3 linked regions of the Callithrix jacchus genome follow. The protein of the gene in region 1 interacts with the protein of each later gene in a biochemical or structural test. Links are inferred from orthologs where the notes say so. Each region holds a gene or a part of one and is shown on either strand. Other genes may lie near its edges. The genes, in order: RAPGEF2, RAP1A and NEDD4.

Region 1 (4,282 bases):
CGTGGTCATTTTAATGTCTGAGGTGCCAAAGTGGGCTTGGAAAGCAGGGGAGGGTGCAGCAAATTACAAACAAGCAAAATAAACCCTAAGAGGATTTAACGCCACAGAAGCAACTCCGGGCCAACTCCTGGACTCAAAAAGAATGCCCCGTATGGCTCGGGCTGGCGGGCCGGTCTTCTGCCCGGGGTTAGCTTTCAGCCCCCAGGCGGCGGCTTGGCGCCAGGAGCGGGCGGGGAGCGGCGACCCGACGCGGCTGGGTCTCCTAGGAGCCAGCGTCGGGTGTGGGGAGGGGTCGCAGCGTGAGACAGTGGGGAACACTGCGAGAGAAAAGCCCTGCGCTTCTCGCCGGGGCACCGGGACTTGCGCCCCATCCTAGGGTTCAGGCCGCGTGAGGGACCCACCAGCCCGGCCGACGGCTCCGCGACCCCCTTGCAGCCCGAGCGCTGCTCACCTGGGCGCCGCCGAAAGTGCGGCTCACACGCGAGGGCGCGGCCCGCGGGCGGGCTGGGAGCGGAGAGGCGGGACCCAGCGCAAGGGAGCTGCCCGCCCCCCGATGATGCGGCGGCCGCCGACTGGCCCCTGAGCTGTCACTCACTCCTCACCATGGTTTCAGCACAAAGCAACAAGGCCCGGAGGCCGCTTCCTCCCTGAGGAGCGGCTGGGGCGACCGGAGAAGGCGCAGGAGGAGGAAGAGGCGGAGGAAGAGGAGGGGAATCTCCGCTTCCCAAACACTCTCTCCGAGGGGGCTGTCTGCTGCGCTCGGCTCTCGGCGTCGGCCGCCCGAAACTGGGCTGCCTGCGGCCCCCTCTTTCCCCTTCTGCGTCCCGCACAGACGAGGAACAAAGTTGCCGAGAGCGACTGGGCCGGAGGGCTGCAGCCCGGGCGGGGTGCTCTGGCCGCGGCGGCGCCGGCGCCGGGGCAACTCCGCTCCGGGAGCGCTGATGGGGGGAGGCGGCGGCAGCGGCGGCGGAGCCTACAGCGGCGGCCCGAGCAGCAGAGGCAGCGGCGGCGGCGGCGGCAGGGCGGCCCGAGGGGATGCAGCAGCAGTCAGGAGGGACGGCCGAGCCCAGTAGACTGAGACCAGGAGCGGTGGCGACGGCGGCCGAGGTGATCGGGCTTCGCAGCGCCCAGACCGGTGCCAGACCCACCCGGTCCGTCCTCCCGACCAGCGGCCGCGGCGCCTGAGCGCCCAAGGACTGGGGACGCGGGAGATCGGAGTGCTTCCCGGAGACCCCTGGGTGGCGGCGCGAGCCTCTGAGAGGAGGGGGCGACTCTCAGCGCCGAGGGGGAGGAGGTTCTGCCTGCCCGCTGCCCTCCCCACTGCCACTCGTACCTCCCTAAAAATAACTCGGGCCCGCTGGGGCCAGGAGGAGCTGCCACTGTCCCCCGAGTGGAGCCAGGGAGGCGTGTCTAGCCAGGGCCGGACGGAGCCTGCGGAGCGGCGAGGAAGAGGAGGAGGAAGGAGAGTTCCGCCTGCTGGGCGCAGGGTACGGCAGCCTACGCGCGCCGCGACCCTCCCGGCTGCGCCCAGCGCCCCTCGCGCCTGTACTGCGCTCCGGGCCGCCGGGCCCATTCGAGCCGCCCCCCCCGCGGGCCCCGCGCCGCCGCCGCCGCCGCGGTTTGGCTGATTAGCCGCGGGCGGGCGGGCGCAGCGCTCAGGGCGGAGGCAGCCGCGGCGCTGGGCCGGGAGGAGGCCGGCCAGGGTGCCCAGCTGCACGACCCGAGCCGCAGGGGGGAGATGGCGTCCTACGTGGATAACAGCTTCCGCCAGGCGGTAATGAAGAATCCCCCCGAGAGGACCCCCCAGGTGAGAACGCCGGGGCCGTCTGCACTTGACCGGATTTCTGCCTCGCAGGCTGCGTCTGCTCCTGTTCCCCCACCCTCTTCCTGACATAGTTCGCCCCGAGCACCCCACTTCTAGTAGTATCAGGACTCTCAATTCCAAAGGCATCCCACCTCCGAGTCTTTCACTCCGCCTTATGCTGGTTTTAGATTTCCCTCTCCTTGACGTTCTCCTCAACGCTCCTCTTCCCATGACTGACCCCCCCCCCCATGTTGTCCAGCAGAGTGAGTGTGTGTGTGTGTGAATTCTCTAGCTTTCCCTCTCCCCGGCCGCCCTTGGGGGCCTCTGAATCTCAGGGGATGAGGTCTCATCTCCCCTCGGCCAGCGACTCTTGCCCCCCGTGACTGCAGGTCCGTTCCTCCCCTTGCAAGTGGCCCTTCTACCTTAGGAGTTTCGTAGTGTTTGAAAGGTACAGTAGGAAACTTGTACGGTTGTGCTAAAGACAAATCCATTTTGACTTTCTAAAGGAAAACATTGAGGTGTTTGTATGTTTACTATTTTGCATTTTTTTTCTTTTCTTTTTTTGGAAGGATGCTGCTTTCAATTGAAGGGAAGCAAAGTTGAATAGCTAGGCTAGTGCTTTTAAATTGCAGACCTAGCTGCAGAGCAGGCATGTTCAAATACACCCCCGGGAAGGGCACCCTGCGGATTCTTTTGGTGTTGCACAGCCCTGTCAAAATTAGATAAGTTTGTTAACCTTTATACATTTGTTTACCTTCAGGCTTATTCTTTTCTTATTTTTAGCGGCCAATAGGGTTGGATTTGGTTGTCTCAAGTTTTACTAGAGTGGGCGAAATTTTATGAAAATATGGTGGCTTAATTTTCTCTACTTTTAGTTGCTGACCCGATGATGACGCATGTTCCTAAGCATTGGGATGGTGACTACAGGAGATCCTGCCTGCCAACCCTTTTAAGACAAATAAGCCCTCCTGATTCTTGGGACCATCAAAACATTTAGGATCTAATGCTTGAAAGTGTTGCTTCCCTTGTTAGGTGTTGGATGCCATCTGTTCAAATCCAAATGCTCTCGTTCTCTGATGTTGATTATTATTTAGTGTGGGGAGAGCATAATAAAATAGAGTCTTCCCCTGGCTGCCTTTGGACAAGCCCCAAGAATGGCACCTGGTACCATTTTTTGATTTTTCATTTTCCCTGATGGAGCTGTCACATCTGGGAGATCATGGATAGATTGCACATGTTTATCAAACGTGTGGAAGATGGCGGTAGTTTTACAAGAAAATTTGTTTCAGTGTCTCCAGAAAGTTCCCATTCTAAAAGACTATTTTTATTCCAACAAGGAATGTCCTGCTTTGATCTTGCCCTTGGTGTTGCACGCACGGCCTCTCCTGTGTCTTTCTCATCTATTTAAAATTGTCAGTTGAATTAGTCTTCTGTATCTGAAAATGCACATTCCTTGTCTCAATGTGAAGGAAAAGCAGATTTCAGTGAAATATTTCCTTGTCTTTCAAGAATATTAAGTGCCAAGTGAAATTACGCATGCTGAGAATGTTAGAACCTAGCAAGGCTGGTCCGAAAATGATGTCAGAGGCCTTTGGTGGAAATTAGAGAGGGGGGAAGTTGTGCATTTGGTTGATTAGTTAGAAGAATAACAATGACTAAAACCTGCTATCAGGTTGGGAGGGTGGGTCACCAAACAAGACTAGAAGAGGCAAAACCTCCACTGTGACTGCAGGGTGACTGTGCCAAATAAATGAACTGTTAAACTTTATTGTTCCCCTGCCAGTTGTGTAGAATAGGGTAAAAGCTGACCCAACACAGAATCTTGCCTGAGTCAGAAGTAAGTGGGCCAGCTATTACTAACCCCACAACATGAGAGCTCCATTGATAGTCAGAAAGCGGCACATTTGCCCCACCAAATCTTCCTAGAAAAACCAAACATCAGGAAACCTACCAAACATTTCAGACATTCCTAAGTGTCAGCCCTATTGACTTTGATGTTCATTTGGTTGTTGCTAGAGCAAACCCCCATGTTTATTTGTTTACAAAAGTTTGCTTGACTGGCCAGAGGTGATTGTCTAAAAATTTAAAATGTACTCAGAAGTTATTTTTAAAAAAGCTTTTGTAGAAGGTGCTTTTTATATTAAGAATGCTTTGTGAATGGAATGCTGGAAAAATTTCCATAGTCTTGTCTTATAAATGTTTGTGAGTTAGAATTTCACAATATAAGAAAAGCAATGTTAAATAAGCTTGATATCGTGAACAGAAGGACAGGAATTAGGAAAGTTTTGCTGTTGTGCTTCCTTCTGTTTCTGAGGATAGGCTTGATAAAGGAGTTTGTGTGATTCTCCTTATAGGCAAAAGGGAAGTGCTTTAAAAGAAAAGAATTGGAAAATATGTAACTTATTTTTCCTGCTGTTCAATTCTATTTATTTTTTAAAGTCTTGCCAGCCTCATTCATTTCCCAAGCTCCGTGAAAAC
Region 2 (4,246 bases), on another chromosome or scaffold:
CCAGGCTGGAGTGCAATGGCGCGATCTCGGCTCACCGCAACCTCTGCCTCCTGAGTTCAGGCAATTCTCCTACCTCAGCCTCCTGAGTAGCTGGGATTACAGGCACGCGCCACAGTGCCCAGCTAATTTTTTGTATTTTTAGTAGAGACGGGGTTTCACGATGTTGACCAGGATGGTCTCGATCTCTTGACCTCGTGATCCACCCGCCTCGGCCTCCCAAAGTGCTGGGATTACAGGCTTGAGCCACCGCGCCCGGCCGAACGGGTACCTTAAATATAACATGTGCAAAAAAGTCTCTTGATTTCCCCATCCCCAAATCTGCGCCTCCTTTTCATTAAATGGCACCACCATTAAATCAGTCATCTGGCGGGAACATAAGAATCAACTCTGATTTCCTTTTGTTCTTTCACACAGTATGCCCCAAATCCAAATCCATTCTAATTATAATGTATCTAAATACAATAAAATAGCCTTCTCATCCTGTCCATGGCTGCCAGGCTACTTAATCCAAGCTACCGTACTGGTAACCCAAGGACATCTGTGCTTTCCCCATTGTGTATTTTACACACATCAGCAAGACTAACTTTTAAAAATGTGAATCAGATGCGGTCATTCCTCAGCTCACCCTCCTACTATGGTTTCCAGTTCCTGTTATAAGGCCCACAGGTTTCACTGGATCTGGCCACTGGCCCACCTCTCTGAGCCTAGCTGGTACTGCTCTCGGGCTGGCTGACGCTGCACAGCCACGCCGGCCTTTCACTGTTTCTGCACATGGCAGGCATATCCCTACCTCTGGGTTTATGGCTGATTTTCTCTTAGCCTGGAAAAGGCTATTCGTCCTCCCCGCCCCCGTGTCTGCAAGACTTACTCCTTCATACCGTGTGTATGGGCTCAAAGGTCTTGGAGACGCAGTATCTGACCAGGTGTAAAGTCACCCTATCTCCCGTTTATTTTCCTCCACACCAGTTATCACTACCTGCAGTTTTTGTCACTTGTTTGTTGTCTGTATCCCCTCTCCCACTCCACTAGCAAGCATGCTGCAGGAGGGTCTTTGCCTGTCTATGGCTTGATCCCTTTGCGCTTAGTTAGAACACCGCCTGGCACCTAACAGGTGCTCAGTTCTTGTCGAATGCTTGCGTTCCCTCCAAATTTTCTTCTTGAATCTTTGGACCCTTCCTCATTTTTTTTCCGGTCTTACCCACCTCCCATTCCGCCTGTGTGCAAAGCTAAAATTCCCCGCCCCTTCCCGGTAGTTCCAGGACTTCCCCGCTCCCCGCTTAAAGTGCGCGGCTCCTTTAAGCGGACTCCGGAACGCCGCGGGGAAGGCGGGGCCGAAGCCCATTCGCGGCTCACTTGGAGGGGCGGGACAGAATTAGGGGGCGGGGATGCGTGCTGCGTGCGTGCGCGTTCTGGAGGAGGCGCCGCCGCCGCTCCCGAGGCCGCTGCTGCCGTCGCCGCGCAGAGCCGGAGCAGGAGCCACGGGCGAGAGGAGGGAGGAGGAGGAGGAGGAGGAGGAGGAGGAGGTGGAGGAGGTGCCGGACCAGGGGGGTGAGTGAGGGGCGGGGAGCCCTAGACTGTCCCAGAGGGAGCGGGGGGCGCGGGTCGGCGGAGCCGATGGTGAGGCGGCTCATGTCGCCGGTCAGTCGCCTGGCTCCCCCTTCCTCCTCCGCGTTCCATCGGTGTCCGGGGCGGCGGCCCGGGGGCCTGGCCGGCGGGAGGGGCCGGAGATCAGGGAGGCCCGGCCACCGCCAGGGCCAGAGCCAACCACGCCCGCGGACCGACCCGGTCGACTGTAGGCCTGCGGGAGATCGTCGGGAGGGGCCCCGGCCGGCTGTGGGAGAGAAAGAGGACATTGTGTCCCCCACCCTTCAACTCCCCGAGGTGTCATAGCACAAGCCCATTTCCCTTGCCGTCTCCCCAGACTTGGTGCCCTCGCCCATCACTGCCTGAGAGACTTAGAAGGTTGGACGTCGCTGCCTTCCTCTCTTGCATGTCCCCTGTCTAGGGTCAGAGCTTCCTTTCCAACCCACCTCTCCCTTTTGGCGGGGCACACGGGGAGGGGGTTGGAGGGTTGGGTGAATTCTCTGTCCTCTGTCCTCTGCTGTAGAAGTGCGGACCGGTTGGAGCGTTGCTATGTCCGTGTTCACTTCTGTCAGGGTTCAGGGTCTCCTTTTCCTTCCTTTATTCCCCCAGTGAATAGGGCTGACATCTCTACATCCCACTCCACCTTCTAGCCCCTTTCCCGCCTTCTTTACCCCCAGGTCTTCCGTAGCTTACCATGTGTTCGCTTCTTCAATGTTACTTTTCATGAGTCTCTGCTTCTTCCCTGAATTTTGTTAGGGAAGAGGTCACAGTGTGATTCTTGTAATCTTTCAAACTAACGTTGGTAAGAGCATCTCTTGCCCCTCTTACTCAGGAAGTTAAGGACGGTGTCTTCAGCCGAATTGTGTAATTTACTGCTACGGGGAGAAGATGAGAGGAAGACATTTGTGCTTGCCAAATGGGATCTCCTCACAGGGCTGAGAACCAGAGTTTAGGGAACCTTTGACCTCTTGGAAAAAGAACTACTGTTGAGGAGTAATGCATTCTGTTTCGGGAGGGAAAATCATTTTGTTCCTTCCTTGAAGGTAGGAGGCATAGGAAGTGAAATAGAATAATAGAGCAGAAGGTGATTGGACCACAGCCCTGCAGGTAGCCACTCTTTTCTCCTTCTTAGGTGGTGGATGATGGTTTTGTTATTACAGTAAGCGTAAAGTATCAGCTCTTAGATTTAACTTGGGGCTCCTACCTTCAAAAGTGTGAAGGGCTGTCTCAGAAGAGATGCTGCTGGAAACAGGATTTGGAAACTTTCTTTGGGTTTCCTGTCAGAATGTGTGGGGGTGGACATGCCTATGTGTAGTTTTCTTTACTTGTGATGTAATTTATTTCTGTGATACTTTGACATAATAAGCATTAAATTAGGCCCCAGACTTTCTGTCTTTATTATTAGTTCCTGTAACATTTTTGTTTTGAAATTATATAGTTTGATATTCTTTTGTATATATTTCAGGGACTCTTGTCTAGTTTCCTGGGTGTTTAAATTATGGTCTACTTCAGATACGATCAGCTGTAAGGTACTGCGGATCATACATGTTCAGTATTTGTTGAATGAATTGAATGATTACCAAGATGAGTCTAGGTGTTAAATCTTCCGTCCTTTTGAGAGGTACCCTATATTAGGATATTGCATTCCACTTCCAGTTTGTAAAATAGTAATTCTTAACCTTTTCTAGGCCACTGACACCTTTGAGAATATGTTGAAATATATAAACTCTCTCCTCAGAAAAAAGTTAATAGGCATTTATTCACAAAATTTTGCATTAGTGTTAGGGACCCTCTGAGGCCAACCATGACCATCTGTCTTAAAAGTGAACTGGATGGAATCCCTGAGTGTTGCCCAATTCATATTAAAACAGCTCAAAAGTCTTTGTTCACTTTTTGTATGGCCTCAGGAAGGACAGTATCTATACTTAATATACCCCAGAAGTTAAGTATATTCGTATACATTGATCCTGTACTGTAGTCCTTCTGGGAATAAATCCCCAAGGAAAGATTCCAAGAGAAAGAAAATGTTGTATATGCACATGTTCGTTTAATTACTTTAATAGATGGGAAGAAAAGGAAACTATATGTCCAACAGCATGAAGATACACAATTTTGCAATCACTGAAAAAGGTTAGAATTGAAGATTATTAATCTCCTAATTGATCTTCCGGCTTCCACTCTTGCCCCTCCACCCCAAGTTGATTTCCACACAGCAGCTACAATGATGCTCACAAATTTAAGTCAGAGCAAGTCTCTCTTGTTTTCACAACTGTCCAGTGTTTTCCCATCTCATTCACAGTAAAAATCCGAAGTTCTTACCATGGCATGCAAGACTTACAGCAGCCCAGCTATTTCTTTCTTTCTTTTCTTTTTTGAGACGGAGTTTCGCTGTTGTTACCCAGACTGGAGTGCAATGGCGCGATCTCGGCTCACCGCAACCTCCTCCACCTGGGTTCAGGCAATTCTCCTGCCTCAGCCTCCCAAGTAGCTGGGACTACAGGCGTGCACCATCATGCCCAGCTAATTTTTGTATTTTTAGTAGAGACAGGGTTTCACCTTGTTGACCAGGATGGTCTCGATCTCTTGACCTGGTGATCCACCCGCCTCAGCCTCCCAAAGTGCTGGGATTATAGGCGGGGGCCACCACGCCGGGCCCAGCCCA
Region 3 (3,545 bases), on another chromosome or scaffold:
TTATATGTGAGAAAGAGCATCTTTTTTCTTTTTCTACCCTTCAGATATAAAAAGAACACAATGGGAAGATCCTCGGTTGCAGAATGTAGCAATAACTGGACCAGTAAGTCTCTTTGTACCAGTGTGCTCTGATGGGACTGTCCTCTCACCTGTCTCTTCAAGAGCAGATAGTCAAGGGCATAATCCTACAGGCATTGAGAGGAGAGCACATTGGCCATTCTCTCCTCTCCCCTATTTCCCATACTCCAAGTCTCCGTTATTTGAAAAGATTCTATAACGTCATTACCCTTACCCTGTGCAGTAACTGCGGGAGACAAGTGAGCCAGACAGTCAGAATGGTAAGGCAGTGTGGGCTGCTGAGCTCTGTCTGGTGCCTGCCGCTATCTGAACAAAAATGATGACAGTCCTCCACAAATCAGAGAGGAGCAGAGAGTGTATCTGGATGAGGACGCAGCAGCACCCTATCCACTCTAGGGTCATTCTTAAACTTTTTGTTAGAAATCGGGCCCAGCTCATGCCTGTAACCCCAGCATTTTGGGAGGCCAAAGCAGGTGGGTCACCTGAGGTCAGGAGTTCGAGACCAGCCTGGCCAATGTGGTGAAACCTTCTCTCTACTAAAAATGCAAAAAAAAAAAAAATTGCTGGGCTTGTTGGCAGGCACCTGTAGTCCCAGCTACTTGAGAGGCTGAGACCAGAGAATCACTTGAACCCAGGAGGCGGAGGTTGCAGTGAGCTGAGATTGCCCCACCACACTCCAACCTGGGTGACAGAGTGAGACTCTATCTAAAAAAAAAATTGTAAATGCCTGTATGAAAGACACATCCACATTTAATTATTGCTGTGTATGATAATTGTACTACTCTTGAGTCAGATGGATAGGATAATTTTTATCATTCTTTATAGCTGCTTTTTCCATTTTTATTCAGATGTTTCCTAATTCATAAAAATAAGATATAGTTTTTTAATTACTATTTACTATCTCAACATGTAGTCCTTTAAAAGAAGGGCTAAAAAAGGCAGCTCCCCAGAGTTCAAGGAAAAAGTACACTTCTCACGTTTTTCCTTTAATAGAGAAATCACTTTGAAAGTCTCTTTAGAAATGGAAATTTTTTGTTTCTATATTTCTCTACTTGGAAGAAATTTCCTGTTTCTGGCATGTTACATTTTAAGAATATCGCATGATGAAAATTACAGTCATAGGAACTGCTGAATACAATTTTACCTTAAACAGAGAAATTAAACATTTTGAAGTTTTGTATTTGTTTTTCTTCTAATTAAACTTTTCTTTCCCAATATTTTTCTTTTAATGCCCTTAACTTATATTCATAAAATACCCAGCAGGGAACTTTAAAAATTGTTCCAGAATAAAAACAACCTAAACTTCTTTATTTTTCCAAAATTTTCAACTGAAGGCAGTGCCGTACTCCAGGGATTATAAAAGAAAGTATGAGTTCTTCCGAAGAAAGTTGAAGAAGCAGGTTAGTGATGTTTGTAAAAAATACTTAAGAGTCATCAATACGTAGATGGAAAGTAAAGGGAAATGTTTTTATTTTTTTAAGTAAGAATTTGTTCTATATTTATAACAACTTTGAGTGAAAAGTTTTTTCATAGAAAAAGGATGCTCATTTTTTGAGTGGCTGTAATATATCACTACAGATCATAATTACTTTATGTCTATTTTTCAAGACATTTTATAATACAGAATAATGGCATTAAAAGTTTGCTTTCCAGAGCTCTGACCTGGGTGTCCTTGTGGAGTTTGTGGGGCTTGATCTTTGTAGAATCTCAGCAAGAGTGGCTCAGGTGATTATCTTCTAAGCTAGTCTTTCCTGTGTTGGAGGTCTCTGAATTTTTTATGACTTGGTTTTTTTTTCCAGCGATAGTCATTCATTCTCTACAGCTTAAAATGTAATCTCTCTGCATACTTTAAAACTGCAATCATGAGTGGGACTGTGCTCTTATGACTTGTCTCCTAATGCTTATCAATTATGTTCACTACGCTTTTGCCGACAGCCACAAATGCAACATGTTTGGAACTAAACTTAATCATCTGTCCATCTGTTTCATTTCTGTTGGTGTCTGTTGCCTCTCTTCATTTGCTCATCCTGACCTCCGTTGCCTGCACTTTAGGAATACTACCACTAGGTGGCCATATTGGGTTATACTTACTTGCATTCTAAGCCAGAAGCCTGCTTTTACAAAGATTCAAGATGGTGGATTGGCTACCTCAAATTTTTAACAAAAATAAAACATGGTAGTTTTTTAGACTAAATATTTTATGCCTTACTAAAATCCATAAATAGCATCAACTTTCTAAACTCGTTTTTAAAAATAATTTTCTACGCCAGGCGTGGTGACTCACGCCTGTAATCCCAACACTTTAGGAGGTTGAAGCGGGTGGATCACTTGAGGTCAGGAGTTTGAGACCAACCTGGCCAACATGGTGAAACCCCATCTCTACTAAAATACAGAAATTAGCTGGGCGTGGTGGCGCACGCTTGTAATCCCAGCTACTCAGGAGGCTGAGGCAGGAGAATCGCTTGAACCCGGGAGGTGGAAGTTGCAGTGAGCTGAGATCACTTCACTGCACTCCAGCCTAGGTGACAGAGTGAGACCCTGTCGCGAAAAAGAGGAAAAAGAAAGAATAACTTTGAGTAAAAATTTCCCTGGAAATTCTTCTGCTTCTAGACTTTGGGATTTTAAATGTTTGCTGATTTATTGTTCTGGTAAATATTTTCATTCTTAATGAAAATATGCTGGGGGAATAGAAGCACTAGCTTCTCCATTTTTTGCCACTCTGAGTGCTTGACACATGTTATAGTATCTAATTGTTAATGTCTTCCAGGAAGCAGGAGATGGGAGGCAGTCCCATTATAGGCTACAAAATACAGAAATACAACATACAAAAAAAAAAAACTTTAAAAAGCAGTAATATTTATTTATCTCTCACTGCATACCAGGCATTATTCTTAGAAGTTTATATATGTCATTCATTTAATCTCTACAATAACTCTGTAAGGAAGGGAGTACTATCACATTTCACAGATGAGGAAACTGAGGCACAGAGAGAATAGGTAATGTGATCAAGTCCCATGGTTAGGTAGAAAAGCCAAGTGGTCTAGCCCCAGATCCCATGTTCCTAACCAACATGACATATCATATTAGTGATTAAGAACATTAAGAGAGAAGTTCATTTTTGTGGAAATAACCCAGAATGCAACAAAGGTTTGTAAGGGATAAACATACAAAAGAAAGGTTCAAAGACATGAAGTCATTTCAGAAGGAGGGAACCAAGATCCTGAGGAGGAGAAAGTGAATATGAATTCTCACATTAATAAAAGGGCCCAAGCAGGATTTTAAAAATCTGTATCTAGACACATCACAGCAAAAGAGCAGAACATCAAGAACACTTAGAATGTCAGAAAGTGTAGCACCAAAATGGAGATAAAGAATATTAAAAACAGCAGGTGCAGTGGCTCATGCCTGTAATCCCAGCACTTTGGGAGGCTGAGGCAGGAGGATTACTGGACCTCACGAGTTCAAGG

The links.
Region 2: the proteins of RAPGEF2 (region 1) and RAP1A form a complex in vitro, tested with the Homo sapiens proteins (2 studies listed by BioGRID and IntAct, with this or other methods). The link is inferred for Callithrix jacchus from reciprocal best matches to the Homo sapiens genes RAPGEF2 and RAP1A.
Region 3: the proteins of RAPGEF2 (region 1) and NEDD4 form a complex in vitro, tested with the Homo sapiens proteins (2 studies listed by BioGRID and IntAct). The link is inferred for Callithrix jacchus from reciprocal best matches to the Homo sapiens genes RAPGEF2 and NEDD4.

Annotation. Positions count from the first base shown.
Region 1 is NC_133504.1:37,237,770-37,242,051, reverse strand, and holds the start of RAPGEF2 (rap guanine nucleotide exchange factor 2), read left to right. Parts: upstream 1-1,464; 5' UTR 1,465-1,738; coding exon 1,739-1,807; intron 1,808-4,282. UniProt on the Homo sapiens protein: Functions as a guanine nucleotide exchange factor (GEF), which activates Rap and Ras family of small GTPases by exchanging bound GDP for free GTP in a cAMP-dependent manner.
Region 2 is NC_133508.1:149,582,546-149,586,791, forward strand, and holds the start of RAP1A (ras-related protein Rap-1A), read left to right. Parts: upstream 1-1,406; 5' UTR 1,407-1,548; exon of another isoform or gene 1,549-1,962; intron 1,963-4,246. UniProt on the Homo sapiens protein: Counteracts the mitogenic function of Ras, at least partly because it can interact with Ras GAPs and RAF in a competitive manner. Together with ITGB1BP1, regulates KRIT1 localization to microtubules and membranes.
Region 3 is NC_133509.1:43,624,467-43,628,011, reverse strand, and holds part of NEDD4 (E3 ubiquitin-protein ligase NEDD4), read left to right. Parts: intron 1-44; coding exon 45-103; intron 104-1,412; coding exon 1,413-1,478; intron 1,479-3,545. UniProt on the Homo sapiens protein: E3 ubiquitin-protein ligase which accepts ubiquitin from an E2 ubiquitin-conjugating enzyme in the form of a thioester and then directly transfers the ubiquitin to targeted substrates. Specifically ubiquitinates 'Lys-63' in target proteins.